4 linked regions of the Lytechinus pictus genome follow. The protein of the gene in region 3 binds, or shares a complex with, the protein of the main gene of each other region. Links are inferred from orthologs where the notes say so. Each region holds a gene or a part of one and is shown on either strand. Other genes may lie near its edges.

Evidence for each region.
Region 1: vesicle transport protein SEC20-like (region 3) and vesicle transport through interaction with t-SNAREs homolog 1B-like share a complex: the UniProt entries of both Homo sapiens proteins name them as parts of the SNARE complex. The link is inferred for Lytechinus pictus from reciprocal best matches to the Homo sapiens genes BNIP1 and VTI1B.
Region 2: vesicle transport protein SEC20-like (region 3) and vesicle-associated membrane protein 7-like share a complex: the UniProt entries of both Homo sapiens proteins name them as parts of the SNARE complex. The link is inferred for Lytechinus pictus from reciprocal best matches to the Homo sapiens genes BNIP1 and VAMP7.
Region 4: vesicle transport protein SEC20-like (region 3) and BET1-like protein share a complex: the UniProt entries of both Homo sapiens proteins name them as parts of the SNARE complex. The link is inferred for Lytechinus pictus from reciprocal best matches to the Homo sapiens genes BNIP1 and BET1L.

What each region holds. Positions count from the first base shown.
Region 1 is NC_087251.1:45,500,304-45,508,152, forward strand, and holds the start of vesicle transport through interaction with t-SNAREs homolog 1B-like, read right to left. Parts: upstream 3,433-7,849; coding exon 3,333-3,432; intron 1-3,332. Other genes in the region: mucin-2-like, read left to right, coding at 3,727-5,600, 5,878-6,244, 7,010-7,250. UniProt on the Homo sapiens protein: V-SNARE that mediates vesicle transport pathways through interactions with t-SNAREs on the target membrane. These interactions are proposed to mediate aspects of the specificity of vesicle trafficking and to promote fusion of the lipid bilayers.
Region 2 is NW_026974140.1:15,218,055-15,226,456, reverse strand, and holds the start of vesicle-associated membrane protein 7-like, read right to left. Parts: upstream 3,098-8,402; 5' UTR 3,009-3,097; coding exon 2,700-3,008; intron 2,028-2,699; coding exon 1,978-2,027; intron 1,155-1,977; coding exon 1,067-1,154; intron 1-1,066. UniProt on the Homo sapiens protein: Involved in the targeting and/or fusion of transport vesicles to their target membrane during transport of proteins from the early endosome to the lysosome. Required for heterotypic fusion of late endosomes with lysosomes and homotypic lysosomal fusion.
Region 3 is NC_087256.1:1,387,465-1,395,240, forward strand, and holds the start of vesicle transport protein SEC20-like, read left to right. Parts: upstream 1-4,246; 5' UTR 4,247-4,272; coding exon 4,273-4,353; intron 4,354-7,649; coding exon 7,650-7,742; intron 7,743-7,776. Other genes in the region: ectonucleoside triphosphate diphosphohydrolase 4-like, read right to left, coding at 3,872-3,879. UniProt on the Homo sapiens protein: As part of a SNARE complex may be involved in endoplasmic reticulum membranes fusion and be required for the maintenance of endoplasmic reticulum organization. Also plays a role in apoptosis.
Region 4 is NC_087250.1:19,732,871-19,740,719, forward strand, and holds the start of BET1-like protein, read left to right. Parts: upstream 1-4,574; 5' UTR 4,575-4,664; coding exon 4,665-4,698; intron 4,699-6,303; coding exon 6,304-6,410; intron 6,411-7,375; coding exon 7,376-7,432; intron 7,433-7,849. UniProt on the Homo sapiens protein: Vesicle SNARE required for targeting and fusion of retrograde transport vesicles with the Golgi complex. Required for the integrity of the Golgi complex.

The sequences.
Region 1 (7,849 bases), on a different chromosome or scaffold from region 3:
CTGAACAAATGGTTGAATTTTTGTGTTGATATTTATAACAACATGCAAAATGATTCAAGTTCATTTACCCCAAATGCTTCTACATTGGTTTTGCAAATAGTGACATACAGTAAGACTAAGAGAGAAAAGCAAAAATTTAGGTAGAAAAAGCTTAAGTTTGCTAAAAAGCATAAAGTATGAAGAGTATGAAAAGAAAGAAAAATCTCCCCTCCGACCCTTCACATACATTAGCAGTCAGTCCGCAAGCCCTGAAAAAGTAGCTTCTTTTATCCAAGTGATATTCATGACAAGAGGGTTTTTGCATAGTTAATGAGCTTGGTGCGAACCAAAACACCTCTTTTTATTCGGCCATTGCTGCTCTAAATATTGACCAAATTTCATGTTTTTGGTATCTTTGTAAAGAAGAAGAATCATTCTTTTAGGTCATGTGTTTGGATTTTTAAAAGAATGTTGTAATATAGGGAAAAATTTGGATCTAAAAAATGAAACAAAATATTTTTTTTCATGCAACAAAAGTTGTTGTTTTCACACTTAATTTCTGTTTAGGCACAAATGATTTTTAAATCATGATAAAGCTGAAGATCTAAGCTTTAATATGATATAATTTTTATAAGAAGATGTGTTTTAGATGGGTCAGCAGCCAGCTTTTCATAGGCCAAGTACATTTTGCAGCTCAAAAACAAGAATACTGCGCTCTGATTGGTCATAGACCACACACCCACGCAAATTCCAATGTTCCCCACACTGGGCCTCTGCAAGGTCACACTCACCATGTGGTAATCTCTTCAAATTACCCGCGCCTGTTTGTTTTGAAAACAGTATTCAGCCAATCAGAACTCTGGATTTTATGTTACTCAGAAATTTCAGAAATCTCGTCTTACATCTTGATGGAAATAACTGGCTGCTGACCCATCTAAAAGATGCCACATATCAAGAGTGACATTGTAAGAAAGTATAGAGTTTGAGCTTTCTGATGATATAAATAATGTTGGTGCCTAAAACACAAAATGTTGCACAATTTGCAAGTGAAAACAGAGGAAGAAAATTATGTTTGATGCATCTTTTCAGGTAAAAAATTCACTTATTTATCAAAATATTTCATTCAAAAGAAATGACCAATATAAAAGGGTAACATTTACTCTTGCCCATGGTACAAAAATAATCAATATTACTCAAGGAGAAAGTGGTTAAATTCTTTGAGATAGAAAGTCTCACAATTCACGAGATTTTGCAGGGACATGAATTCAGCCACGAGAGGACTTGGATAAATCTTGCTCATTTGCTCATTAACACAGGGGCTTGCGGACTGACTGTTAGAGTCTAGATTAATGTCCATCTTTATCAATTAATGAAACTCTGTCAATGTTTGTTGATGACACAGCATCCTACTTCAATTTGGCATCTATGTTTTTGCCTCTGCTTAACAGGTATTACAGAGAACAGTCAAACTGTCAACATATTCAAATCACATTTGGAAAAGGTCCCTGAACATGTACAATCCAGATGAAAATTTTCTATGTCCATGCATGCTCTACCCTAGACCAAAAGCTTCGGTCTCTGTTATTGTTCAGCTGAACTCCGTTGGCTTCACTCACCAAATACAGAGACTGAAGTTCTAGCGCGATCTGTACAGGGGACTCAATGGCCATATGTTTATGTACTTAAGATCGGATAAAACGGGGAAGTGAATTTGCGCGACAGCCGAGGTAAGTCACTGTTTTTGTTCCTTTTAAGTTGATTTTTCTCTGTTTTTTGGCATTTAATGCCAGGAGGGAATATTAATTTGCATTTTGGTCGCATTAATTTTCAAAATTTTTATTCATTAAAGACAAAAATTGAAGAGCCCCTACGGGGGGATTTTGCATTGCAAGTCCCCTAATGGTGGCTGCACGATAGCGAGCCGTCTGTGTACGAGGAGAAATTTAAAAAATAAAAAAATGTTAAAAAACTCCTCAAAACAGACGGCTGCCAGCTGTCTAGCTCTACCCATGCCAATCTGAAATCTGAACAAATACCCCAAATGCTCCTACATTGGTTTTGCAAATAGTGACATACAGTAAGACTAAGAGAGAAAAGCAAAAATTTAGGTAGAAAAAGCTCAACAGCATAAAGTATGAAGAGTATAAAAAGAAAGAAAAATCTCCCCTCCGGCCCTTCACATACGTTAAGAGTCTAGACTAATGTCCATCTTTATTAATTAATGAAACTCTGTCAATGTTTGTTGATGACACAACATCCTACTTCAATTTGGCATCTATGTTCTGCCTCTGCTTAATTAACAGGTATTACAGAGAAACAGCCTAGTAAAAAATACAAGAATGAATAACGAAACTAAAAAATTAACTTGAACATAGAACAGGTATGGTGGTGTGACCTTAATTTGCGCGTTACCTAATTTTGCGCACGGTCGAATATCTCAATATCTAATTAATATCTTGAAAAACTGATATCTCCAAAAGAAAAAAGCGACCCAAATTACATTAACATATTAGAGTCTCCTCAGTATTGTAATTTTCTTGAAGGTAAGGTCTCAATTTGTGAAAATATTGGCAAAACATTGTCAAATTTTGTTACCTTTTGCGTCTGCTCCGAGAAAATCTGACCTTCTCGATAAGTTACAAGAAATCGCCAGTTTGTGAGCAAAAGTCTCCAAAATAAGGAAGTAAAATGTGATACCAACCTAATCTATCGCATTTTAACCTCCATCTGATACAATTATTTTACCTTTGTCTGCTTGATTTCTTTTCTAAAGCTTTGCAAAATGATCCTGATCCTGCGCAAATTAAGGTCACACTTTTTATGAAACTTTTCAGCCGAGCGCACTAGTCGATCGCCATGGAATTTTTAGATCTACCAGCAAAACCCTTGACCTACTTCAAGTGAATTTTGACTTTGGGATATTGGCTTGTTTAGTTTTTATGATTTTGATTAATTTTGGGTGAACTGTGAGATATTTTTGATTGAAAATCAACTTCAGGATCACTTCTGAAATGTGCGCAAATTATGGTCACCCCATTACAGGTTCTTTGAGAGAAAGCATTAATATTAATTTAGAAATCCAACTCCTTAATGAATTGGTTTACATCATCATGATCATGCAAAGCTGAAATAAAATTTCAACTTCAAGTTCAACTTAAGTGGACGTCGATCAATACAATTCTTAAGTTTAAAGTTAGATTAGTCTAACGTTAGATAGACTTCAGTCACCAGTGTCTGTTACAAACAATGCTAACTTCTAACTCACAAAAAAGACAGTCATTCAAAATCATTCATTTCACATTTTCAGTCAATCAAAATTCAAATGAATGTGGATGGGTGTGTGTGTGACTTACCACCAGATGAATTCGGAATTCTTGCTTCAAGTTTGTACTTGACTGTGTCGCAGAGAGTTCTATAGTCATCTTCAATCCTTTCAAATCGCTCCGATGACATTTTGGACGTTTTATTTAACACAGATCCAGAAGAATATGATCCTTTCTCCTCAGTCCGACCAAGTGTAACTCTCCGACTCCCGATCCGTAACTTTTTACAACGTTAATGAATACAACACAATCAGGTGACCTCAATCAAGTGCCTAGACTATTACCAGTCGTTTTATACTATTCTATTTCAGACGCTACGGTACTTCTTGGTACAATAACTTCTTAATTAACTGAGAACGACTGCGCAGGGTCTCCTTTATATATATATCTCGCAGGGTTTACTTTTGTTGAGGGCAGCTTTGACATGGCGGACGCGGAGGATGCAATTATTGGAGAAATAACCCATTCTGATCCCGATTCCGACACACAGGATAATGTAAAACAGCAAGGCTTTATCGGTAAAAGCTCTCCAGGAACAAAGGAAGGAAAAACACCCGATCTTTTGTCCGAGGCTCTCTCAAAGATGGATGAATCTGGACAGGAAGATGAAATAAATTTCTCTGCCGCGGCAGGAGAGACAGACGCAAACACCGATGGAGCCGCGGGTAGCGGCTTGTTAGAAGAAGATGATCATGATGATAAACAAGTTTCTGAAACTGTCATTCCTGAAGCCGAACCAGGAGATGGATTCCCCGTCGTTGGAGATCAGAATCAAATGTTGATTGCTGACAGCACGTCATCTAATGACAATGGGCTGATTGATGGATCAATTGAATCACAAGCTGATTGTTTGACTGGCCAAATTGATTCTGAATCTTCCAAAATTGACACCGAATCTTCTGCTCTTTCTGGGGATCATGATTCAGCCATGTCTTCATCATCGAATAATGTCTTATCAGATATTGCAGCAAGTTCTTTACTTGGGTCCATTGCAACCATGATCGATTCAGGCAGCGATTGTTCTCTCACCGAAAACTCAAAAAATAAAGATGCATTAAACATCCTGGAAACTGCTTCTGCATCAGCTGTAGGAACCACTCCCACTTCTGTAGTAGCTGCACCTGCGGCCAATCCAATATCTTTGAATTTGGCAAGATCAGCTCAAAATACATCATTACTTGTGAATGGAAATAGTTTGTTGACAGGTTCTGCTTCTAGTAATATTGGCCTTGGAACATCTCTGCTGAATACCCCTGGCCTCATTCAAGCCATCTCACAGCAACAGACGGCTCCAATCACAAGCGTTCCAACTCTGAGAGTAGCACCTTCAACCCCTTCACCGGTAACAATCACTGTTCGAACCCCTCCAGGGACAGGGGCTCTCAGCCAAACGCTTATATCGAATATTGTGAATACCCCAGAAGTGCAGGCCCTCTTGGCAAAGAATCCTGGTCAACCAATCACCATTGTTCGCGTTCCAGATGCTCCAGCCACTGTGACCACCCAGTCATCAAAACCAACTCCAGCCCCAGCTCCTCCACCTGCTTCATCTTCAACACCAGCTAAGGCTCCAGCTCTTATTAAAGTTCCAGTTTCAACCACGACTCCAGTTTCTGCTCCCATCTTGTCCACAAGTCAGAAACAGGGAAGCACTATTCCGATGATGAAAGTAGTAACTAATGCAACTAACAAGCAGCAAACACCCGTCAGAACTTTCCCACCCGGTACCATCCTGTCCAACAGGCTCCCCAGTAATAGCACTCCAACAACCACAAAAACAACTTTTTCACCCACTTCAACATCGGTCAAATCCTCTCCGAGTCCTAAGCCAGCCATAGTCTTGGGAGTAAAGAAAAAAGTTGGTCGAGGTGGTGGAAAAGCAGCGGCCAAGGGAATGGCTCCAGCAGTGCCGTCCTCGCAGGACTTGCATCTCATGAGACAGAAGAGACCGGCCAACTGCAAGACTCGATCTGGACGAGTGTCCAGGCCTCCACTGTATAGAATCAAGGAGTACAAAACCATGTCCAATGAAGAGATGGGAGACCAGCCAGGTTCCTCTGATGGAGAATACTCGGATTATGATGATGGTGAAAATGCAACCTCGACACTTAGCTTCTATGATCAGAAGAGGAGGTATAAATGCCAGAACTGTGAGAAGCGGTACATTGGAAGAGGCGGACTGGCCAGACACTACAGAGACAACCAGACACATGGAGATCCTGATGCCGTGTTTGCAAAGACGGAAGATGAAGACCCACAGATGGAGATGGAGACTGATGAGAAACAAAGTGACAAAGAGTAGGAGTCTTTTTTTTTTTAAATAGTCTCTGTACATTGTACAACATAACTTGTTTTAAAGTTTAAATCATCAGTTCTAGGAAAAGAGAGGAGGGGGGGGTTATTATTTGAATTTGTGAAATTTTTCTTGATTTCACCTTTCAAATTTTTTATTCAAAAAGCCTTTTATTTTTTCAACTTTTACCATCATATAATTCTCAAAGCAAGAGTTCAGTTGAGAAAAAATAATGAAAACAAAGGTGTATTTTTAATTCGTTTTATATTTATTTTCTTGTAGAACAAAGGAGGAGACACCAAACGAGGCAGCTGAAATCCCGAGTGAGGCAGCCGAGACAAACGAGGCAGCTGAATCCCCGAGTGAGGCAGCCGAGAAACCTAATGGGAACCAATCTCCCAGTCCCAAGCCCGAAGATGATAAGCCAAGTTCTTCAGAAGAGACATCCCAAGAAAACAAACAAGCAGAACCAGAACCAGAACGGCCGAAACCAGCTATAATTACCTACCACTATCCTTATAAACCAAGGGGGCGGGGTAGAGGAAGACCCCCAGGGTCGGGTCGTAAGGTCGTTGATCAGAGTGGCGATGCATCAGTGATAACCTCAAACAGCAAAGATGTTCCAAAGGCAGAAGCATCAACTTCAAAGGTGACTGGAAATTATACTACAGGGGATTTTTTTTTAATACGGTACCATTTTAATACAGGATGTTGAATTAACTTACTTTAATTTCCGTAAGGTGTGATGATGGTATCAAAATAGGGCTTAAAGTATTTTAAGATTTTCTATGAAATGCAAGTAATATGATTGTTCAATCTGTTTTTGAAAGTTTATTCTGCTTTTTGTTACTAATTGATTAATTACAATAAAGTCTTGAAATATTTGTTGCTTTGTCTCGTAAGTTTTCAATAACAACTGATTAAGAAATTATGTGTGATATTCAAATGCCCTGTAGATCTACATTAAATGTTAGCAAAAAGTTCAATCGGAACAAAATCATAATACATCTGGATGTCTGTTTAGCTTTAGCACTTTGCAAACACTATCCCTTTCATCATTAAAGATGAAATGAGAATCCTGATTGAATGATAAAGTTAAAGGTACTGCTTAATGTTACTGAAGATGCCATTTGATTGGTCAATGTCATTTTTTTCATTGAATCGTAACATCATCTACTAAACATTAGTTTTATAAAAATAGGCCCAGAAATAAATGTTCTGCGGATCTGGTATAAGCATCATTTACTCTACTCATTATAATCCTTTAATGATTCTGTTGTAAAAGAACTGATTGATAGATTTGACCTTTCATCTCATAATCAGGAAATGAACTTCTTCTTTCTCAAAATCTCATATGGTATTCACTGAACAATGCATCAATCTTATGAATATTCATGATGACTTCATATTACAGTTCTTTGACCCCAAGACCCCTCTTGACGATGATCTGATCAAGGTCACGCTGCCTATGCTGTCTAAGGTCATCACTCCCTGGGAGTACATAGTCGCCAGAGCCCAGCAGACCACAACCAAAGATGCAATCTTTCCCACCATCCTGAAAGCACTCAAAGAAATGCATCTTGAAGCCAGGAAGATGGCTGCGTCGTGTCTGGAGCGTGTTCCAGTTTTTCCTGTCAAGGATCATTCTGTGAAAGGTCAATACACATTCTTTCTTCATTTCCCCCCTTTTTTTAATTCTTGGGTCGTTATATTAAGATGTTTAGTTGCACATGACAAATCAAACAAGTAGATTATGTCAAGCTGAACATGTCTTAATTTACTGTTAATGTACCTTATTATATAAAGTATTTTATTATATGAAGTATTTTTTGCCAATTGTATATTAAATAATCATAAAAACTGAACATAGTACATGTTTGTTGATTGTATGGAGGACTTTTGGGGCCTACATTCAGGCTCTGGAATTTTCCATTTAGTATGTGACTATCTTTCATTCTAAAGAAGAACCCATAGAAACTTTGTAAACTGGAGTTAAAGATTTAGTGAGGTCACTGAAAAACACATACACTGTAGATATATATTCAGTCCATTTGTATTATATCGGAATGAAAATAAATACATTTATCAACTCTTTGTAGGTTCATAGAGTCTGTGGGATTATCTTTAACTAGTTAGTCCATTTGAATTTAATATAGGCTCAATCCAGTTTCAGCAATTATCAAGTTAATTACATTTCACTTAATACCAAATATGGGGAATTAAAGGGTTGAACATAAAATAAAATGTAAGCATA
Region 2 (8,402 bases), on a different chromosome or scaffold from region 3:
TATTTAAGCTCTGATAAATCCTAATAATAAATAAAATGTTTGTTAAATTATATGTCAATTTAGCAAATGAATCCTGTTGTTCAAAATAACATTCTCAACAATAACCGTTTTATGCATTTTGATATTTCAACCGAATATTATTAGACTGTAGATTCTAAAATTAGAGATACATGTATGAATGCATATATTGGGAACCTATATTTTACAAGTTATGATTTTAATACGTTCTTCATTTTCATGAGATTCTTATTACTTTGTAAATAAGTGAATGTAATTTTCATTATTTTTTCATTTAATAAAGATGTTTTTGTGGAATGTGAAACAATAAATAGAATAAAATCAAATAAAAACTATATACCCCTGACATGCTTCCTGCCATATTGCAGATTTGATGCACTAGCTTATACAATTAATATCAAATTTAAAACCATTCTAATCCCTTTAGATCATTTTCATGATTTTTTATTTTTACATTATCAATTGAAAATTCAAATAAGTACAGGTGGCTTGGTGATAGACCCATTAAACTTGGATTTCATTTTAATAAAAAACCAGCTACACTACTATACAGATTCATAAAATCACAAGTGGATGATTATCAGAAATGATCTAGACAATGCCCCCTCTTATCACTTCTAAACAAACTATAAATGCAGTCTCTAGAGTTAAAACAGTCCACACAATATAAACAGTCGATCAATGCAAAATTATATTACAGGTTGTATAGGATCAAATATATTTCTTAGAATTGAATGATAGAATTAGATAATTTATGAACAGAAAGTAAAACTACCACTTGGGCAATTCCACTCTAGGGTATTCAGTCAAAATGACAATGTCTTCATAATATCTTATTTTGTTATAAGATATCTTCAATCTGCATTCATACCTAAATCAAACATCATACTCAATGCCTTTTTTTTCCTTTGCATCTCTTCATTTATTTCTTGTTCTTTCAACTATCTATGTAAATATTTTAGGGACCAGCCTACATTCTTTGCTCTTTTGACCGAGACTGAATATTTTCAAATTGCTATTGTTGACAAGTTTTTACTTCTAGACTTACAATTTGTGCAGCTAATACTCGAGAGAATTCACTGTTCATTGCAAAAGGAAGCGCTGTGTGTACTCTGGACCCATAAGTGGCTGTGAATCTGTAAGTTGGAATAATGACATTAAAAAAAATCATGATATTGAAGATATCTGGTTTCAGTTTCTATTTTGAAAGAAGCTTATACTGAAGGTAAAGTCAATACATTACACAAGTAAAAAATATGTTACAAATTATTTAATGGTGTATTGGGACTTTGGAGAGTGTCTTTATCATGCATTAATCATATTTATTTCATTGGTATCACAGTTATGGCACAATTGTCTTAATTATAGAAAATAAGGGGGTATTCATATCAAATTACATGCAGGAATTAGCCCCTTAAAAAGCTTGCATGCTCTTAAACTGGGGTAATAATGTCCTAGTCCTTTAAGGCACATAGAGACATCATATCATGTGTGCTACTGATTGATACATGTACATGTATTAAACACATTCTTAATCCCACAAACTATATACAGTATGTATGGTTGGTAATAGTGTCTTGCCCAACTTGAGCCACTCAAGTATTACAAATTACAAAAGGAATTTCTTGCTTACTGTTGATCTCAATCAGTGAAGACGCTAATGTACATTTAAAAAAGTTAACAATTGCCTGACTTGTGCTATAGAAACTACAAGTACAGTTTAGAATTATTTTTTTCAATAGGGGGAATTTCTCTAATGCCGAATTGGGTTTGAATAACAAACAAGAAGTAATTGCAGCATATGAATGAAGGGTTGGCAAATATCGATTAATATAGGGATATTCAACGTTCAGACTTTGTAACCTCACATGTGATCAGCTCTTCCATGTCATGTGATATAAAGTCCATAAAATACATTTTTCTATAAAAAGGCAAATAATATTTGAAACAAGCCCTCACTTCTTTTTGATCTCCTGGAGAAATGCAAATGCTCTTGACCTTTCATAGTCCTGGAAAGAAGAAAAATATTCAATGACCAATTAATAAATGATCATTTGAACCATAAAAAGTATATAATACAAAATAAATCTTTTTATTTTCTTTTCAGGGTAATTTAGCAGCATTTTATCATCCTACTACTACACAAAATCACACAAATCCATTTTCTGCATTTATATATTTTTTTATTTTACTGTGTGATATATCAATATTTTAATCATTATACAAACTCTCAGAATAAATATTTAATTACAAGGAATGTAATGTTCCAAATCATTACCATGATAGAAAATAAACATGGTATTCTACAAATGACAGAGCTTCTTCTTTATCACTAAAGTGTTATGTGCTAGCCATCTTCAGAATAAAGGGTGGTTAAATATTTCATATTGGCTTGTATCAGAACTCTTATTGATACAATAATAAAAGTTTGAACAATGTTGTAACAATTAACCTACATTATGTTGTGGTAACAATTAACCTAAACATTACAGATTTTCTCTCAAAGTCATCACTCAACAGTCACATGTAATAGTTTGTCAAGTTGATTCAGAAACGAGTATGACATCTTGAGAAAACAAGATCTTGGGACCAACTACAACTTGAACTTCTTGGACATGGGTTATGGTTATGGCTATGGGAACTAAACCAAGTGGTTCTCATATTGAATGGGTACTACTTACATCATCTGTGATGCACATATATATAATCCTCTCCTCTGAGACGTAATGAAAGAGGTATGCTCCATGTGAGTACGTCAACTTGGCATTCTGTGGAGGAATCTTCATCAGTACTTGCTCTGTCACCTCAGTGAAGTTTCCCTGGCAAGCTGCATAGTTTGCAAGCACCGTGGTGCCACGAGCGATGACTGCATAAAGTATAGGCATCTTGTCTCCGTCAGATGGTCTCCTGTAGATGTGATCAAGACCATCAACCGGGGACTCTGAAAGGTAGGAGAGATATGAACGCTTCTGAATAGGAATTGGAGCCATTTCTTTTTTCTTAATTACACATATCAACTAAAACAGGATGAAATAATTCCACAGAGATTGATTTGTATTCACCCCTGAGGTTTAAAATGGTTAACACCAGCACAGCAACCCAGCATATCACAAACTGAATGGGTTGCTTCTTTGTCCACTATGAAAGCTCTGTGAAACTACATACAAATAACTTTTGCAGCAAACTAATAACACCTGGGTCATTAATTCTTGAGAGGAATTAATGATCACATGAAATTTTGCTGGTATCCAAATGTTTCATATACTTGAGATAGAGGTATTCAATTGCACTGTGCAATATCATAAGTCTTCAAATACATGTAATTTAAAGAACCTTTATTTTTTTTAACTGTTACTTGACACGAGATGCCCGCATCAAAAAGCGACTGTATCCTTCATAAAATTTGTTACAAAATATGGCTGCATGATGACTATTCACATTTGGGTCTTATCTTCAGCTGTAAAACTGTACCATGTTTTGAAATACAGATCCCCAATAAATGTCAAGCAAAGTCCACAGAACATCTTTTCTCCTTTAGCCTACAAGCAGGTGGAATGAATGAAAAATTACCTTGTTGTTGACTTTGTTTATTTCAATGAAATTATCTTTCCTTTTTGCAAAAAGTTGCCAATATTGGAAATTGTCTTGCATATTTCTCTGTGCATCTAGCTACTGGCTGTGGACTGGTGCTTTAAGACAGACTCAAAATGAGAATACCAAAAACAGTATACCAGTAGTGGTTGATCCAATCTTAATAAAAGACGAGCATGCACATATTCTTGCACAGTACTCTAACAAATAACAACACATTTTACTACAATGTAAGAAATATTAAAGAGAATGAAGAACGATGCAAAGAAGCCTGAAACTAAACAAGCAAATATCAGATCTAGCAATATTATTGGAAAGAAATGCAGATTTTAAATTCATCCTGAATTATGTGAAAAAACCCAAAAATTTGAATAATATTTATCACTGATCTCTCCCTCTCTCTTGTTATTATTATTACCGGTACTAGGGAATCTAAAAGATTCTTTAAATGCATTAAAATTGGGCTTCTCATTGTCTTCTTTATTCAAAGTAGTTTGCATATCCTACAAAGACAATGATGGTGGAAGTACTGTAATTAATAATTATCGCACTTCACTATTTGACCTGAGGCTGTAGGTCAGACGAGTCTACTACACCGAGGATATGAGACCTAAACAAGAATACAGCAAATCCATTCACTTCCACTGTTCCACCAGATGAAGTGATCAACATGATCAAGGTCAAAAGGATTACCTCACTTTGTAACATGATGATGATGTCTATGAAAATCTGGAACTTGGAATTGACCAGATTGAAGAGCTCGCCAACAGCAAACTACAGATGCACATGTATGTATTAAATACAGTTTTAGTGGGGATGGGCATAATCCAAACCATAAATGCCCCCACCCCACAAAAAATAGGGATTAATTTATCCGCCTGATGGACATTTTTGCTCTGTAACAGTATTGTAATAAAGAATTAATTCACTATATCATACATTAAAAATGATGGTAGTATATTAATATTTTGACTTCATCCAAAAATAAATAAGCAAAACAAAAGTAAATAAAGAACTATAAATGTATTGTATTTTGGCTTCATGATTTTAATACAAAGAATTAATTTAATAAATTCAAGTTATTTTAATCACTAAGAATAAAAATTTAAATAAATAAAACGGTAAAAAAATGACCTGTCTACCATCCCTTATACCAACCATTTTAACCACTAAAAATAAAAATCATTAACCATTTTAATCACTAAAAAAAAAAAATGCCTACCCTCCCCTTTACCATTTTAATCACTTAAATAAAAATAATTTAGAAAACAAATAAACAACCAAGAAGCCCCACCTCGTCCTTTTATCATTCCAATCACAATATAGAAATAAAAATTAAGATAAAAAGCAACAAAGAATAAAGCAATGCTATTATTGAATTCAATCTCTATAAGAATGAGATTTAAAAAAAAAAAAATACGGATTTAACAAGCCATGTTTCTCCCCTTTTATCATTAATCACTAAGAATAAAAATTATCATAAATAAAACAAAAAAGAGCCCCCCCCCCCTTCAATCACTATGAATAATTTATTCAATAAGAAATGAAATAAAAACAAACAATGAAGCCCCCCCTTTATAATTTGAATCACTAAGATCATAATTTAAATAAAACTAAAGCAAACAATTAATAAGCTCACCCACCCCTTTATTTCAATTAAAAACAAAGAAGACCCTAGACAGCTGGTAGCCGTCTGTTTCGAGGATTTTTTTTTACAATTTTAATTTTTTTTATTTCTCCTCGTACACAGACGGCTCACCATCATGCAGCCACCATTAGAGGGTTAAGAATGCAAAGTCCCCCGATGGGGCTCATCGATTTTTGTCTTTATTTCATAAAAATATATGAAAAGAACTGTGCCAAAATAAAGATTATTTTTCTGTTTTGGCCTGAAATGCACCAAAACAGGAAAATAAACTTAAAAGAGGAAAAAACAGCGACTTACATCGGCTGTCGCGCAACTCCCACTTCCCTTGTTTACCGAACTAATACATAAACATATGGCATTGAGTCCCTGTACAGATCGAGCTAGAACTTCGGTCTCTGTATTTGGTGAGTGGAGCCAACGGCCACCGGAGTTCAGTGGAACAACCAACATAACAGAGACCGAACCTTTTGGTCTAAGACCCTAGCTAGCTCCATCGTCGGCTCGTCGCACTTCATAAAATAATAGTGTCCATAATGAGCGCGCGTGCGTGTTTTGCCAGCTGTCCGGCCATTTAAAGGTACTGTCCAAAAACTAAAAGGGCGAAAGCTAAAGGGGACCGACGTCGGCAGGTCATGAAATGAAATGAAATCAATGCAAGAATATTCTTTAGCACTTGGCAAGGTAAATATAATGATCATCTACATTGAGATCACGAAGTTATCAAAAACCTTTACCCGTCCAAGAATTGTCAGGAATACGGTACCAAATGTACCAGTAAACGATTTCAAACAAAAGCAGTACTGCACTCAGTGAGTGAGTCACTGACTCAAGTTTCCACTTGGCCCTAGTTTCTTACCTCTCCCTCCCTCCCCGATTGAAAAGAGAATCAAAGAGTATTAAAGTCAACCAAGATTCAAACAAGGACTACTCTAGAATAAGGGCAAGGGCGTGTGCACTCTTTTTGGCCCGCAACTGTGGTGGTTTTCTTGCAACGCCCCATGCCACGGGCATGGATTGCTTACCTCGCGGGGAGTTCCCCCGTCATGCCCCTGTAAAGCAATGTCAGTTACGGTACGTATAGAAACAGTCACAAACAAGCCCTCAATTCAAGCTGGCCAGTTTATCTTAATTGATCTTCATTTACATAATGAAACTCAACTCAGTACCAAAGATGGAAACTACAGAAAGCCGAGACGATAGTAAATTCTGATTGACATAGTGCAATCAGTTTGTTCTTACTTACAATGAATAAGCGGGTTACGTTCTCGACTGGTATACTCAAATCTCAACTTCCATTCCCCGAATCTCGTGATCGCGCGCGTGCTGTTTTAATTTGGGCGTTGAAGATGTGATGTGAAACGGATCCGGGAATGGATGTCATCCGATCCCCGGTATGTCAGCGCAGCCGAGATAATCATGACAATGATAGTCATACAATGACATCTCTAATTATTTAATAAAAGAACACAAGAAAGAACAATGGTAGATAATGTTCATACTTTGTTATTTCAGGATGTCTTTTCTGAAATTCAAGTGTTTATTTTACAATTCATCATTTTGAACAGGTGGAGGCACTACGGGCACAAAAGGGAGGTTTGTATGATTCAGATCCGCCCGTTTAGATGAGAGGAGTAATGGTTGTTATATCATTGTCCAAGAGAAAAGGACAATATACCCACTGACACTTAAAACCTAGCAAATAAACTGCTGCCTTGTCGTTTATTGATGAACATTTAAATTAAATTTTGAGTCTAAAGTCCAAGCATTCTCAGGTCCCATTTGACGCTGTTAATTTGTTAATATCTACATTTGTCATATAATTCTCTTCCGGGAGCAGCTAGACCCCCCCCCCATGAAAAATTTCAAGAAATGTCACAAAACCTGGGGGTGATAAATGACACAAAGTGCAGAGGAAGGGATCTCAAAATGATAACTAAAGTTTCTTTGTTCATTTGTTTAACCTTTGTACATGTATATCAACAGTAGCATCCCGGAGTATATAGCATTCCAAACGGTGGTTCAATAGGCATCTTCAGCCCACTATAAACCACTGCCAGTCTTGGGCTCAATAATCACCCTTTTCATTATGGGCAACTAGTCCACTATATTTTCACAGTTGTGATTTGCTCTTCCAAATCGATAGATTTCATTGGTACTGGTATATAACCTGGATAATTTAACCCCGGAGTTGAACTTGGCTAAATGTTCCTATGAAGTTGGACACAATAGCAGTGATTTTTTTTCTCTTCAGATTTTAAGGGAATCTATACCCTTGGTCAAAACATTTTGTGAGAGAGAGAAAAATAAGTACAACAGAAAGAAATAAATCAGACAAAGCAAAAAGAACCGAGATCTCAAAGTTAGTAAAAGTATGTAAATTTCTAATTGCAACATGGCAACTGAGTATTATGACAAGTGGTGGGGACAACTATCCCAGAGGCCATGCACTTAATTATCAGGAATTTGTGGTTATATCCTTAAAGGTCAAGTCCACCCCAGAAAGATCATGATTTGAATAAACAGATAAAAATCAAACAAGCACCGTCGATGCTGAAAATTTCATCGAAATCGGTTGCCGTAAAAAAAGAAAGTTATGACATTTTAAAGTTTCGCTTAATTATTTTTCACAAAACAGTTATATGCACAACTCAGTGATATGCAAATGTGAGAGCCAATGATGCACCTCACTATTTCTTTTGTTTTTTTATTGTTTGAATTATAGACAATATTTCAATAATAATTAAAGACCAGGCGGGTGTTTCATAAAGCTGTTCGTAAGATAAGAGCGACTTTAAGAACGACTGGTGATCCTTTCTTATGCGCTAAACCGTCGCCAATGAATATACCATTTACCACAAGAAAGGATCACCAGTCGTTCTTAAAGTCGTTCTTAACTTACGAACAGCTTTATGAAACACCCACCAGCTTTATTGAACCACAAAATGTTATAACAATGGTAGTTCCACATGTTCGGGAGGAATAAAATCAGTCAGTCTGCAAGCCCGGGGGGGGGGCACTTCCATTGACGAGTGGATATACCATGCGCGACCACGGGGTCTTGAGAAGCACCCTAAACACGTATTTTCCATATTCTGAAAATGCACCCCTTAACAAGTATTGGCGTGTGAAACCCTACCCTTAACAA
Region 3 (7,776 bases):
TTTTTGCTATTGCTCATTTAGCAAGTGAAGTTTTTTCAAACTTCCAGCCCCCTTCCCTGGATATCTCTAATGGTGCGTCCCTAACAAATATGAACACCCTTTCCTACCCACATCTCCTTCATTGACAACTTGGATATTTTGGAAACATCCACTTGAGAAAATCCCCCTAATCGACTGGTGGGCATTACGCTCCAGTGGTTTTGTAAACAACTTGATACATACTGTATGAAGGAGATCTTGTCAGATGATAAATCCAATCAGCATCGAGTACCGTGAATGGAAATTAGAGGGAACAATTCTCATTGGTCAATTCCAAGCAGGGAGGACAGGGCTTCGCCAAAATTTACGAGCTAGCTCCAACTTACGGTGCCACATGTCAGAGGGTCAGAATGAAGAGTTTTTTCTCCCCTGATTTTTTCCATCATCCCACATTTTCACACACAAACATCCACACATGTGATCTGTTAGCAAAGTTGGGAAAAGAAGCAACCAATCTCGCAAAGCGTGAAAACTCCAATGTTAATTTCGGTCATTTGCTTTCTCTTGCCTTTTATTTTCGCTTGTGTTAATATAACTTTTAGGCCTGCATGGGAGTACACATTGATTGGTCGAATGGTTTAAATGGCGTGCCCGCCAATCAATCAGCAAAATTTACACTAAAGTGAATGTTCGGCAGATCCCGATTATGACGTTGGGATTATAGCTCAGATACCCAAGTAATAATAACAAAATGACAAGAAAACAATGATGACAACAGTTTTTTTATACTTGATACAGGTTTAAAAATGATGCTACCGAGGTAATTTTTGAAAAATTAGCAATGATTGTATCACATTCACAGTTACACAACAACACGAAAGAGCTCCGAAAATGTTAATCCCACTCGATCTTGCCCTCGATACACAAAATAAGTCATTGTCTGCGTGCTCAAAACAGAAAGTAAACACACAACCATCTCACTTGAGCTGATTGGACCTTCGGCTTCGAAAGCCAATGAAACCTTCGGGGAAACAGAAAAAGCCACGTGGTTCCCTTATCAGGAAAGGTCGTGACTTCAGAAATAAATTGACCCCTCCCCCATGAGGGAGAGAGAGAGAGAGAGAAAGGTAGGGGGTGTGAGCCGGAGAATTCCTTTCAAATTTCAAACAATGCAACCTTTTTTATATCCCCCTCACACAATCAAAAGACATTCCAACACGCGCCGCCTTCATCAGTACTTTCTTGGTTAGTCTAAAAAAATAGACCCAGTTATACATGTAGGTTCAAATGATAAAAATTTGTAATTTTGAAAGGTATTTCAAATGAAATATTTTGCAAAATATTTTTTTTGAAATACATGTGTAGCATCGTGGGCAGTGCCACAAGTGGGGGTGGGGACATGGTGTGGGCAAGGAATGAATTTTTTTCAAGTGAAATGCTCCACCTGTGTGTCAGTCTCAAATAATACTTCATGAATGAGTTGTTAAAAGAGAACGAGAGAACTTAGTTGATTCAAGATAACTTGAATGAAGCAGAGTGGAAGAGAGGAGAAAAACAATTCGAGAACGTTTCTGAGTGATGGTAAATTACCAATTATCTCTGAAATATTCTCTATATGGTATTTTCATTGATGATTATATGACACCGAGGCTGTTACTTCAACATTTAATTCCTATTTTCATGATTAACAAAAAAAAGCAACAACGAAACAACCAACAAGAAACAACGACTTCATACCAAAAAAAATCAGACCTTTCTTACATTTTCCGTCAGAACTGATCAAATTTTAAATACCCTCAGATGAAAGTTGGCATCATTCCACGAGGTTTACTCTCTACTCTCTTTTTTTTCATAACTCCCTCCGTCCCCTTCTCTCTCACCTTCTCTCTAACTCTCTGTGCGGATCGGATTGGGGAAAGTGTCTGCGTTGGCGTATTTATTACATGAGCTCCGATGCTCCCTCTCCCCCTCCCTCTCCCTCTCTCTAGTGGACAGCCAGGCGTTGGCTTGCGATGACGTATTAACAACATTATAAGTGCACGGCATTTAAGTGCTGTTAGGGCGGGGATCCATTCTAACGCTGGTAGTGATACCAACCAGCTGGGTTATGTCGGCATAGAACTATCGTAAATCACTGCCTCGCTTGACAGTGAGACCCAGACTCCCAAGGGATGAATACGATATGTGAGTAGTGCTTGGAATGCATGGGGTCAGCTAAGGACAATCAGGTCAGCTAAGGACAATATGGGTCTGTTTATTGTGCTTGATAAACAAATAGCAAAATCCGATATTTGCTGCCGATATTTTCGACCGATACCGATCATAGGGATAAGTATGTGCCCCCGATCATCCGATCCGATCAGAGCTCTCACTTACAGGGTTATGCCAAGCATCCTACAAAATCTTCTTAGACAGTCCACGGGTGTGTCGTTGAAGAGAAATCCAGTCATCTTCATTGAGGGATTTTGATAAATAACGCACAAAATGTAATTTGTCAAGGTAGAACATGGAATACAATGTTTGTTAATTCAAAAGATTTCATGTAGCCTGAGTGATTTTTAATTAGATTAAATGAGGTGATCCCCCAATTTTTTTAAAGGGAGGGGATTGAAGACATATTGCACAATATAACATTTTAATAGAATTGGGGGCTTTGAATATTTAAATTTGTATTAGATATAAAACTTGTCCAGAAATAAGCATTTAATGTCAACTTTCTCACTAATGTCTATACTGCTATTTCTCATTTTAACACCACTTGTATGCTAATGCTCAGTAATCCATTTCTTTGCACCCATGGACCAATCACCCTTAAAACTTATTCTCATCTGCTTCTTGGCTTTCACCATCACTTCATGCATGCTTCACAATCATCCTTTGCTGTCATCCTGTATGCACATCTCCCACACCTCATCTTGCTTTTACAATGTAATCTCTCTTTTTTGGTCTTGTCTTGAAATGCTTCACACATCACAATTTCCAAAAAATTCTTATTCACAAGCAGTGCTTGCTCCTCAGGAATTAAATCATCCATCCCCGTTCCCCAGAGTTACTTGAATTAACTAAAGTTCAAGTGCTAGATTACAGAAGGAAAAATGGTCAAGATGAGTGTGCCCGATGGTTACATTCTATTTATTTGAGCAAATGGGGGCGAGCGTCGCGTAACGTTGGGGAAGTACAATAAGAAACAAGATGGCGGCGTAAACATCGGGCAAGTCTCTTCCGTCTTTTCACAATATTTTTCTCATTTCGTTGATGAATTCTTGTTTAAAAATAACGAGAGCGTAGAAATGTCGGAAATGAAGTTTTATACATGATTTATGGCTAGATGTTTTAGAAGGAAAGTAGAAATCTCGGGGGCGAAAGTTTCAGGGTTTTTTGCGGTACACGCAGATGAATAGGAAGGACTCATTGGCGGCGGAAGCAAAATTTTAGGGGGACTTAGGAAAAAAAATTGACAAGCAAAAAAAAAAAAAAAAAAAAAAAAAAGGTTAGGCCTAGCCTAGGGCCTACCGTATCAACAAAAAATTATTTTAGGGGGGGTCCGTCCCCCCACCTAAAATTTAGGGGGGACACGTCCCCCACGCTTCCGCCGCCTATGGAAGGACTCCCTGGCTTCATTTAGAGTAAGCCTACGTTAGTAAATGATTTTAACTCTCAAGAAGCCGCCTGGCTAAGGCCTAGCTAGGCCATGGCTAAATCAATGCGATGGAGCTCCTGGACTCGGGCTGGAGTTAGCCCGCCCCGGCCCCGGTCCCCAGCCGCGCAGCGGCCGTAAGTAAGTGCAAAAGCCTCAGCTCGCGCTCGCAGCCGATAGAATCTCAGTCTCAGACTCAGTCTAACGTTACTACTCTCATCTCAAGATCATTCATTTCTCTATTACTATACGTACCGAGCCATTTAAACAGATAACTTCAACCAACATTTAGCAGATGATTTATCATTTGACACAAAACACCTCGATCTATCCCTAAGAAATTCCGCATAATTTTCTTCGTTCTTGCTAGCAGCTGCCTGAGCTGAGCTGAACCGATTAATGAGGTCGCCGACGTGTTAACATCATACGTGTACTTTACAAGAAATTTGGCAATCAATGCCAATATTTTTTTTTCATTTACTGATTGTTACTTTTTTTATTCCATTGTAGAATAGTAAAAAATATAAATATGCAAATTTTGTATTTTTTTAATACTAAATTGGGTTTTTTTATTTTAAAGGTGATTTTTATTTCTTATTTCACTTTCAGATCTTACGATTTCAATGCTGCCAATTTGTATTGACAAATTTGTCAAGATGGCTTTAGACGCTGTGAGAATTAGAACTTGCGTTCAGGAAATCGTCAAACATGACTTACAGATCAATTCATATGCTCAGGTAAGTTCACGTACTAAAATCAATCGTTGATTTCTACGATTATTTGATGAAAATTATATTTTATCCCTAATTTTCTACATCGTACAATTAAGTTTATAATATTGCTATGCGATTCTGTGCGACTGTTTTTTAAACAGTCCCACATACCCAGCTCTGCGCTAGTAACTCTCCGAAGAATTGACAATGTCACTACTCACGTTAATTATGCGTGTCTATGTATGTTAGTGTTACAGTCTTGTAGTAGAGTCAGGTATTGTATTACCGGACACTGCACTATTATGATTCTGGACGCGCATATTACTGTGTACGAAAACAATTTCGTCCCGCAAGATTTACGCAGTTCAATTTCACAGAGCAATTGACATTTGATTTTGATTTGTTAATGTTAGAATTAAGTTATAATATAAGTAAGTTAGATTGAGAACAAGATTGCAAAAAAGCCAAAAACATTAATGGCGAAAAAATCAAATATTATCTTTTAAATTAAATGACAGAAAATGCTTAAAATATCATATGTCAAAGTTTTGCATTAACAATTGATATATTTTCTGGTGGAAATATGGGCATGATTTGCTGAATTTCAATCTTGTCCGCTCCTTCGATCGAATTGTGGTGTGGTGTATTGTGGGTGATCTTCGATGGCTAGCTAGTTCTCAAGGTACCCGTGTGCGAGGTTTACCGACGATCGACAGTGCATGATGTGCATCGATAGAACTTGATGAGTGTCACAATACGAACAAGCATAATATCGGAAAGTGCCATGCAGTTAAAAAGAACAAAAAAAATCAAATTAGTTAGCAAACGCAAATTTATTACCAACATCTGCTCAGATTCGATATAAAAAAAGCAAACAAAAACTAAGAATTTACTCATGATATGATATATGAAGAAAAAATCACACAAATTCTTTCTTACATCATTCTAATCAAGAATACTGACAAGAGTTCCATATGCACCCCTCACTAAAAAAGTAAAATTGAAAATAAAAACATGGAGAAGGTTCAGAATAATATATCTAGCCCTAATATAGAACATATATGATGGGGGAGTGGAAATACATACCAAATTTTTGGTTTATTCTGTCAAATTTCGAGCAGGATCTAGTGTGTGTAATTGTCCATAGACATCATTGGTTTATTTAGTCAGTAAAGGGTCTGTGAGTCAAGACTAGTTGAACTATTGGCTGATAATCATTAAAATACCCCTTCCGGTATCAGCACTTCTCGCCAGCATAGCGGGAAGAGGTCTTGACTGCAGATAAAACGAGGTGAGTTCGAGTCCCTACTAAGGTAAGCAGCAGTAAAAAAAATGATAGAAAAATCTGAAGTGAACGAACCGGAAGTCTCAACAATCTTTTGTTATTTTTGGTGGGGGTGCATATGGAATTCTTTCCAGAATATCTTTACCCATCCTACGCAGGCTTGGTCCTACGTACACACGTCCGGAATCATGATGTAATTTGTCGCATAAATAATTGTTTTTCGTGGAGGGGTATGCGGCAAGTGCGATGCAAAGAAAACAGTTGGTAAATATAAAATAATTTCATCATATGCATAATTTTCATAATATTTGGAATAGCATTTTTGTGCAAATTTTTCTTGATTGTATTTCCTCTAGTTGTCATTTTTAAAGCACTGAAATAAAGTTGTCCGGCAATAGGATACATTGCCATACTTGTAACTTAGATTCCCTTCCTCCGAGGTGTGGAGATCGGTGGAGAACCGCAGTTTGTTGAGATTTTGAAGCTTCTAATTGGGCCTGTCCGGTCGATGATGCTGGACAAGGACAGGTGAATAGTTCACGACAACCAGTAGGCCTACAGTACTTTAGTACTAGAGCTGGCGCACGGCCAATATTGGAGACTCTCTCCAATATGAAAGACAATCTTCCATATTCAATATGATATTGCAGACTTGCTTTTCAAAAGAACAAACGAAACACCACCAAAACGTGTAATTTTTCCACCCAAAATTTTGTCTCCCTGAGTCTGAGGTCAGAAGCCAATTTGTTTTGTGTGTGGATGACAACAAAAATCCTCATCAAAACAACAGTAGACTGAATTTTTTAAAGTAGACGGTGAAAAGGGGTAATTTTTCATGAGGAATCTGCTTGTCATATTTTTATTTGCCGCCAAGGTAATCCTTTTGCAGCAAATGTAAACATGAATCTTATCTTAAAGATACATGATATTTATCGGCCAATACAATTTACAAGTATTTTTTAAATCTAAGTTAGCACTGCTCATGATATTTTCGCCCTCTATACGCTTCTTGTAGCTAGGCTACGATAACAAAGACGGCAAGGTGGCTACAATAACAGACTGAGTAAACGCTCCTCTACTTTTAATATTTTGATTCATTATATATGTGTAATATTAGTTAAAGATATAACTATTTTGCGCCAACAGGATTCAAATGATATTGTAGCCCATTTCCATAAGTTTGGGCTCAAAAGCCTAAAGAAACAAGTATTTTGGAACAACATTATTGTCTCCAAAATACTTGGTGCGCGTAGAGCAATGGCATCCCGTCCCTGGCTCCGTGGAGATTAAGCACGTCAGTGATATGACATTAATCTCCAGGAGCCTCCTGGCTAGGTAGGCCTAGCTTGCCAGGAGGCTCCTAGAGAGTAAAAACAATGTACTAACGTATGCTTACTCTCCACTGAGTCAGGGATTGCGTCTCATTCATGTGCGTGTACCGCGAAAAAAATGAAACTTTTGCCCTTAGATTTCTACTTTCCTTCTAAAAGATCTAGCCCTAAATCATGTAAATGGGATACAACTTCATTTCCGACATTTCTACGATATTGATATCATTTTTGAACAAGAATTCATTTAAAAAATGAGAAAAATATGAAAAGACGGGGAAAACTTGCCACAATGTTTATGTCGCCATCTTGTTTTCTTTGTTTTTTTCCAAGGCTACAGCACACATATTGCGATATGCGTGCTGTAGCCTTGGCGAAAAACATGTTGGCCGGTGCAAAACTGCATTAGTGCCGAACTCTGTACAGTCCAAGTGGAATTCATATAGGGTCTATACCCTGGCCATGAATAATCTTAAATGTTTTTGGATCATTTTCTACTCTATTCCTCAGAAACAGAATCAGACCTCCTTAAAAAATCGATAGACCAAATTCAACCCTGGGCTTAACACTTTACCCTACCCTAAACCTAACATAAAATCCTATTGCAACTCTAACCTTGCAGTTGCATCTTAGACGAAATTAAGCCCGGAGCAATTTTCACAGGAGCAAATGTTGTGCCACCATTATAATTATTCTTTTTATTTCAGGAGCTGAGGAGTAATTGCAAGACCATGGAGATTCTAGACAATATCAATGTGAAAATCAAAGCAGAGACTGCCATATGTAAACAAAGAATAGAGGTAAGATTTGAGAGCAGGTTGGTATCACGAAGGA
Region 4 (7,849 bases), on a different chromosome or scaffold from region 3:
ATAAAAATGTGGGCATGATATCATAAACTTACATGTATCTACTTGCATGTGTTGATGACCAATATTTTTGTAATTATTTTTTTTTAAATTTTATCTGATTTTGATAAAATTTTCACTATTTTGCATGGTAAAAATTACTTTATTTTAGATTATGTTGAGCCCGTATCATATACAAGTACAACTTTAAAGATAAATTACCAGTTGTAGTAACAATCTTAAAATGAGTTCAAACAGAACCCAATAGAATTACCAGCAAAATATAAAAGACATGTGCCATAATTAATTATAGCTCGGGAAGAAAATGTGTAATTGCTGAGAAATGAGCAAAATAAGCATGTAATTCTATCCAATGTCAGGTATTTTTCAAATCAATCATAATACACTGTCCTGTCCCACATGTTCTTTTCTGTGTTAGTGATCATCAAAATAATTAATTTTAAGTTCAAAATTAGTGATTTTACAAAAATACAAGCTTACATTAATGTACCAGATCTAGAGATTATGTACAATATTTTGACAATTTCTCATGAAATAATTGTTTGCTGCAACTGCTGTCTTTTTAATACGTTTAAGTGATAGTGTAATACAACCACAAACTTTTCTTAAGAATTAATGTACATGTATGATTCTTTCACCCAAATTTACATGCATTGATACTGTTGACTACTTGCCAAAAGTTCCTGCTAAAAGCCTTTTTTAACGATGTACATGCTTTTATAGACGACCTGCCAAAACATTGTATTGTATTATATTCAAGGTCCAACCAAAAAGAGATGAATAAAATGTTTGAAGGAAATTGAAATTAACTTTAAAAATGATAGAGCTCTGTCAATGCAGTATTATTACAGGGTTCCCACAGTCATGGAAAATCCTGGAAAAAAATTGGTCATGGAAAGTCAGGGATATGTGAAAAGTCATGGAATTGCATTTACCTCTTGGCTATGACAGCTTTCTAGTTTTTTATGTCTCACAACTCTCATACTCTGTGATTATACTCTACTATTATAATTGGTGTTCATGATCATAACATGTCTGATTTTGTAAACTGTGCCAGAAAGGAATTAAGTCATGGAAAGCAGCAATTTAGTCATGGAGAGGTCATGGAATTCTGTTTTCAAATTTCTGTGGGAACCATGAATAGGTTTGTGCACTTGACACAGTGTGCACTACAGATGAACTTTGTAATGCCATGATATAAACCAGTACAATATCTTAAAGGAAAATAAAAACCAAAATATAATACCACATGATACCATTGATAAATACAGGACAATGAAAATGAATCCACTCATATACCCCCAATCCGATGTCCCAGTATGGAGTACCACCTTTTCAAAGTTGGCATCTTCTGGTACAAAGTCTATGGATGGGGATTATTCCGTCAGCGACGAACTACATCTCTAAACGTTTGGGCATTAAATATTCTATTTCATCGATAATAAATCAAATGTACAGATAAAACTCATAAAATATTAATTAAAATTTGTTTAATATTATATGATAGGTTCAAATTACGACTTGATGAGTTTTAATGATAAAAATTACACCCTAATCTACGATTTACAAATTGGCAGCGGAAATTGGGGTGTAAATCTTATCATTAAAACTCATCAAATTGTATTTTGAACCTACCATATATTAAACAAATTTTAACTAATATTTTTATGAGTTTTATCTGTACATTTGATTTGTTATTGATAAAATAGAATATATAATGCCTAAACGTTTAGAGATGTAGTTCGTCGCTGATGTAATAATTTCCTAACTAACCCCGCGAAAATGGCGACCTCCATCCAGAAACTTCGAACCATACTGTAAGAGGCCAACTTTGAAAAGGTGGTACTCCGTAATTGGATTAGGGTATGAGTGGATTCATGTTGATTGTCCTGTATTTATCAATAATATCATGTGATATTATGTTTTGGGTGTTATTTTCCTTTAATTCAGATATTACATGCCAGGGTATTGTCCTAGTTTTCATTTTCTCCAAATACATATTATCATCTCTCGTCTATTTCTACTTGCCCTTCAGCCTTGAAGTAAACTTGGGATAATTATGCATTTTGTTATACGCAATTTTGAGTACAGTGCACTTTGCCGCAGCTACTTATATGATATTACCTATTGTAGACACATCCTTATGTTTTGTTCATTTTCTTAAAAACGATTAAGAGTTTAATCATTTTTGTCTTTAAGCATAAAACAAAGAGTAAATCAGTCCATTCTGTATGTGTGACCTGCAAAAAAACTACAATGGTCGTTAATTTGGTTTGCTGAAAAGCCAGATAACCTTTGAGGTAACTTTTTAAAGTATTTAGAAGAAATGTATCTGTTTTAAAAGTATTTATATGCACTGTAACTAATTTCTTTGATAGTTACTATTATGTTACACTGTTTGTACAGTAAAGCAGCTGTTACACAATTTTTGTCAATATCAAATCTAAACCAGTATTGTAAATTGATGACTCTATGAGCTAAATACCAGTACTTTCTATATCACTTGTAAAATCATTTGTTGTCTGTTCATTGAAGGTGTTGTATTTTCTTAATCTTATAAAAGTACATAGGGTCATGAACACATTCTACTGCTACCAAAATCATACCCATGATCTGTGATGTATCTAACCAGTTACCACACACATTGCAACACACCAGTTGCAACATACATTATCATGCATCAGTTATCACACATCTAGTTACCACACACATTTTGGGTAATGACTCTGATGCATGGTATTATGTGTATTATGTACAATATGTGTGGTAACTGGTTAGTGTTTACCACACACCATTTACCACACGAATTACCTCATATTTTACCACACACCAGTTACCACATGCATTACCACACACCAGTTACGTAACTGGTGTGTGGTAGTGTATGTGGTAACGTGTGTGGTAAATCGTGTGTAGTAATGCATGTGGTAACCGGTGTGTGGTAAAATGTGACGTAATTTGTGTGGTAAGGCATGTGGTAAAATATGAGGTAATTTGTGTGTGGTAACCCGTGTGGTAACCGGTGTGTGGTAAAATGTGAGGTAATTTGTGTGGTAAGGCGTGTGGTAAAATATGAGGTAATTCGTGTGGTAAATGATGTGTGGTAACGCGTGTGGTAACTGGTGTGCGGTAAAATGTGAGGTAATTTGTGTGGTAAATGGTGTGTGGTAATGCATGTCGTAACTGGTGTGTGGTAAATGGTGTGGTAAATGTCGTGTGATAATCTATGTGGTAAATGGTATGTGGTAAAAATTGTTACCATAAATTAATCCCTTGTGTGGTAAATGTTACCATATATTAATCCATTCATGTGGTATTCCTGTGGTAATGTTGTGTGGTAAATGTTCCAATTTACCACAGGACAATACCACACGACATTACCACACATTACCACACAATACCACAGGACATAAAGACATAGCATTACCACACAACAATATATGTGGTAATCGTGTGGTACAGTCCTATGGTAATTATATGGTATTACCACAGGACATTTTTGTAAGGGGTCCCTGTTATATAGGCCCTATATAATCGATTAAAAATCTTGATCACCACCAGCATGACTATGGTCCAACCATGGTCCCAGCTAGCAAGCTGACGTTGGTTGGGCCAATGCGGGGTGCCGATGTCGGCCACATTCGGCGAATATCGGATTCCATAGACCAATGAAAATTAGAATACTACGTACGTACGTAATAATACTGCGTACGTACGTAATAATACTGCGTACGTACGTAATAATTATCACGTACGTACGTAATAATACTGCGTACGTACGTGATAATACTGCGTACGTACGTAATAATTATCACGTACGTACGCAATAATACTGCGTACGTACGTAATAATTATCACGTACGTACGTAATAATACTACGTACGTACGTGATAATTTTTTTTTTTTGGTTGTCAAAAATGTCCGGTTTGAGGCTTCGTAGTTCTCGAATCAAAGTTAAAGGAAAATGAAACCCTTGAAACCAGCTGAATCCATATCAAAGAGAAAAATCAAAGAAACACATTGTTGAAAGTTTGAGGAAGATTGAATGAACAATAAGAAAGTTATGAGCATTTGAATATTGAGATCACTAATGCCATGTAGATCCTCCCATTGGCAATGCGACCAAGATCTGTGATGTCACACACGTACAACTCCCTCATTACTTTAGTACATATTTCACTTATATTCTCACTTTTATAGAGTCTGTCACAAGGTGAGGTGTTCTCTTTATGAGAGGACAAGTACAGAGGTTTCACAACATTATATCATTGATGAATCGTTTGTCATATGATTAGAATGAGCAAAAAGAGATGTTTTGGGGTATATTTTCAGTGTCCAAAAGGGGAGAGTTGTTCATCAGTGACATCTAGATCTTGGTCGCATTGCCAATGGGAGGATCTACATGGCATTAGTGATCTCAATATTCAAATGCTCATAACTTTCTTATTATTCATTCAATCTTCCTCAAACCTTCAACAATGTGTTTCTTTGATTTATCTCTTTGATATGGATTCAGCTGATTTCAAGGGTTTCATTCTCCTTTAACTTTTGTGAGAAAGAAACTGGGCATTGAATCAACGTTGCGGTCGGTGCTAATCTACGTGGAATTGAAAACGTAAACACAAATATCGGCAGCTTGAAATTAACTCACTATTTTCCCTGAAATAATGTCTGACTGGGACTGGGGATCGAAGAAAACAGGTAAATATTTTGAAATTACTGGACTGATTTATTCAACTCTATTTACTTTATTGCTTAACAAATAAGTTAATGGAAATCTTTCCTTTATTTTCTTGAAACTCTTCAAACAGTACTGCAACGTGTCCCACACGTACAATTTTGTGTTTGTAAACTCTTCATAATCAACACCAGTTTTCTCACTCGTTGACAGATCGATTCCTCATTCCAACTCTTTTCTATATCATATGTAACAAATTATAGAATAAAGTGCTCAAATATAGGACACTTAAGCATGATTGGACCAAAACAAAAATATAGGCCTAATCATTGAAATATTGAATCAAATGAAATTAATCATGTCTATTTGTGGTTGAAAACTTTAGTAGCCTAGTTTTATTTTTTTGTAAAAATCAAATTTTGAAAAAATGTGGTAGGCCTAAATGGAAATTATTCACTTATACTACCAGAAGCTTTTTTTTGGCCAAATACAAGAAGTGTAAAGTTGTGCGCCGCGATCAATTTTGGCAATTTAAACTGCGCTCTAGGCCCTAAAGACTAAACCCCAAAATAATCGCTTGATTGTTGAGAAAACATTTTTTATTTCAGCTGCGCAAATGCCGATTTTGAATTATTTCTATTAATAATTTTGATGTAGAAATCTGTAAATGATAATTATTTACTTTCCATATGGACCTCTTTCGGCTCTAAATATCGGACGTCTTCGCTTAGCTCCGGGTGGCTTCGTTCTGAAATGCGAGCGTGGGCGTGTGAACAGCACGCTTTCCAGTGCAATCGGACGAGATGTCCGATATTTGGGAGGGTGTTGAATTTCCCGCCGTGTGGAAACCCGCGATGGCCATTGCAGATCTTTTTGCGATAGATTGAATATGTGTCATATTGGTGGCGATATTTCCTGCGAAAATCACTTCCCCCTTACAAGATTTTTTTTGGTCATTGATCTTTTGGAGTTAAAAATTAGTGAGGGTCATAAGAATCTTAACCCCTGGAATAGCTTTTCTGAGCAGCAACCTGGATCTATTGTGTGTGCAGTTCAACAGTACATGTATCACATGTATGCAAGTCCCCCGCCAGTGTGGATCCCTGTAGTTGAAGTCTTTTTCGTCCAATATTTGGACACTACTCATTACTCAAGTCATTTACCGGCCAAATCATGGTTTTTGGAACCACTCGTTGATTTGTGCATGTGCACGTGTGTACAAAGTAAATGGAGGTGGAAAATAGGGAACCATGCGTTGTGACTGAACTATAAAGCGCTGCTGTACGAAGTAAACGGTGGTTCCCAATTTCACGATAATGACCATTTACCCAGTCTGTCCAAATCAGGAAGAAGTAGATTGAATTTGCAATTCAATATTGGGCCTGAGGCTTTTTAAGCTAATCACTCAGTCTTGGATTTAACCCACTTATTTATTGAACAAGGTTATGATATAACAAGGTTAAACTGTTATGATAAAACCTTGTTCTCTGTTGGGACTGTTAGGACTCATCCGTTTTTGTCCGCATGATTTTAGTCGCCAACTTCAGTCCATTTCAAACTTGTAAAAGATTTTACCCGTCCCTATTGACCTGTGTGTGAATTAATTCCTTGTTATTTTTTTTTAATAGGTGGACAAAACAACCACGGTGGTAAAATGAGTACGGAGGACATGCTTGAAGCCGAAAATGACCGAATGACACTCGGTCTAGCAGCTAAGGTCTCAACATTGAAATCTGTGAGTAGTCTATGGGTTCATAATCACTTAGGTCTGAGTGGGCGCGTCGTGGTCTAGTGGTTCTGACTCTCGCCTTTCAAACAGAGGGTTGTGGGTTCGAATCCTAGCCATGGCGTGTTTTCCTTCAGCAAGAAATTTATCCACATTGTGCTGTGCTCGACCCAGGTGAGGTAAATGGGTATCAGCAGCAAGTAATTCCTCAAAAAGCTGTGCGCACCAGAATCGGTAGACCAGTTTAACCGGGGTAATATAGGAGCGCCTTGAGCACCTAGCAAGGTGGATACGTGCGCTATACAAATCCTATATTATTATTGTTATCAGATAATCTTATAACATATGGGCTGAATGCATTTGGTCCAATATCAAATTGAATCGCTATTTGTCTTACAGTACACTATCTAATACCATTTAGTCTAATCTAATTCTTGTGTAGTTAAATGCACAGAGGGCCCAATTTCCACTTGACATTAAGGTCGTTGGTCACATAGGTCGTTGGATGCCAGAAAAGTCCTTTTCTTTAATATTTTTTTATGAATCATTTGATCAATCAGCTTTGGCAGACTGGCAGTGATACACTCAACTACAACTATGGAAAGCCAGCAGCATCAACAACTAAAATGCATGTTTGTTCAAAATATTTTCCAGATATGACGTATTCATCTTCACGCTTTCATATGTTTTTTGGCAATTCATCATGCTCTACGTATACAAAAGGCCAATGTTTTGAATTTATCAGCTTATTTGGCACTTTACCTTTCAAAACTGTAAGAATAATATCGTAAATAGTTTTCTTTACCAGTCATGCATGGATACAGAACACGGTATACATAAAAAAGGATGCAATCAATGTAAACAAAATCTTGACATTTTTTGCTTTTCATAATTTAACACCAACTTCAACCATGGTTTTAGTTAAACCAGACTTCAGAATAATGACCTTTACCTTTTTTCTTGTTTTCTTTCAGCTTGCCAAGGATATGGAGAATGACACAAATGACCAAAATGTTTATCTTGATGGAATGGTAAGACAAGAGATATGTTTGATCTGGAAGGGGGGGGTAGAGTTAGGGACAGTCACCAAAGACACATCCATGACCAGGGGGGTGTTTCACAAAGTATGACTAAAGTCGCACTTAAATGCTGACGCGTGCATGATATGCAACGCGCGATCTTATTGATAGATACACAGTAGTGCGCATCCTCTTGTCATGATCTGACCAATGCGGTCAAGCCTTTTATACTGTACGCAACTCGGTATTATGTATATGTGACTTTAACTCACGCTTAAATCTTTGTGAAACACCCCCCATATTTAGGTATCATTTTTTTAATATGATACACATTATTAAGTGAAAAAAGTCCTTGAGCTGGGCTATATCAGTTTATACTTGTTTAGGGGGGTAAAAGGAATACAGAAAGTATTCGGAAGTAAATTATGT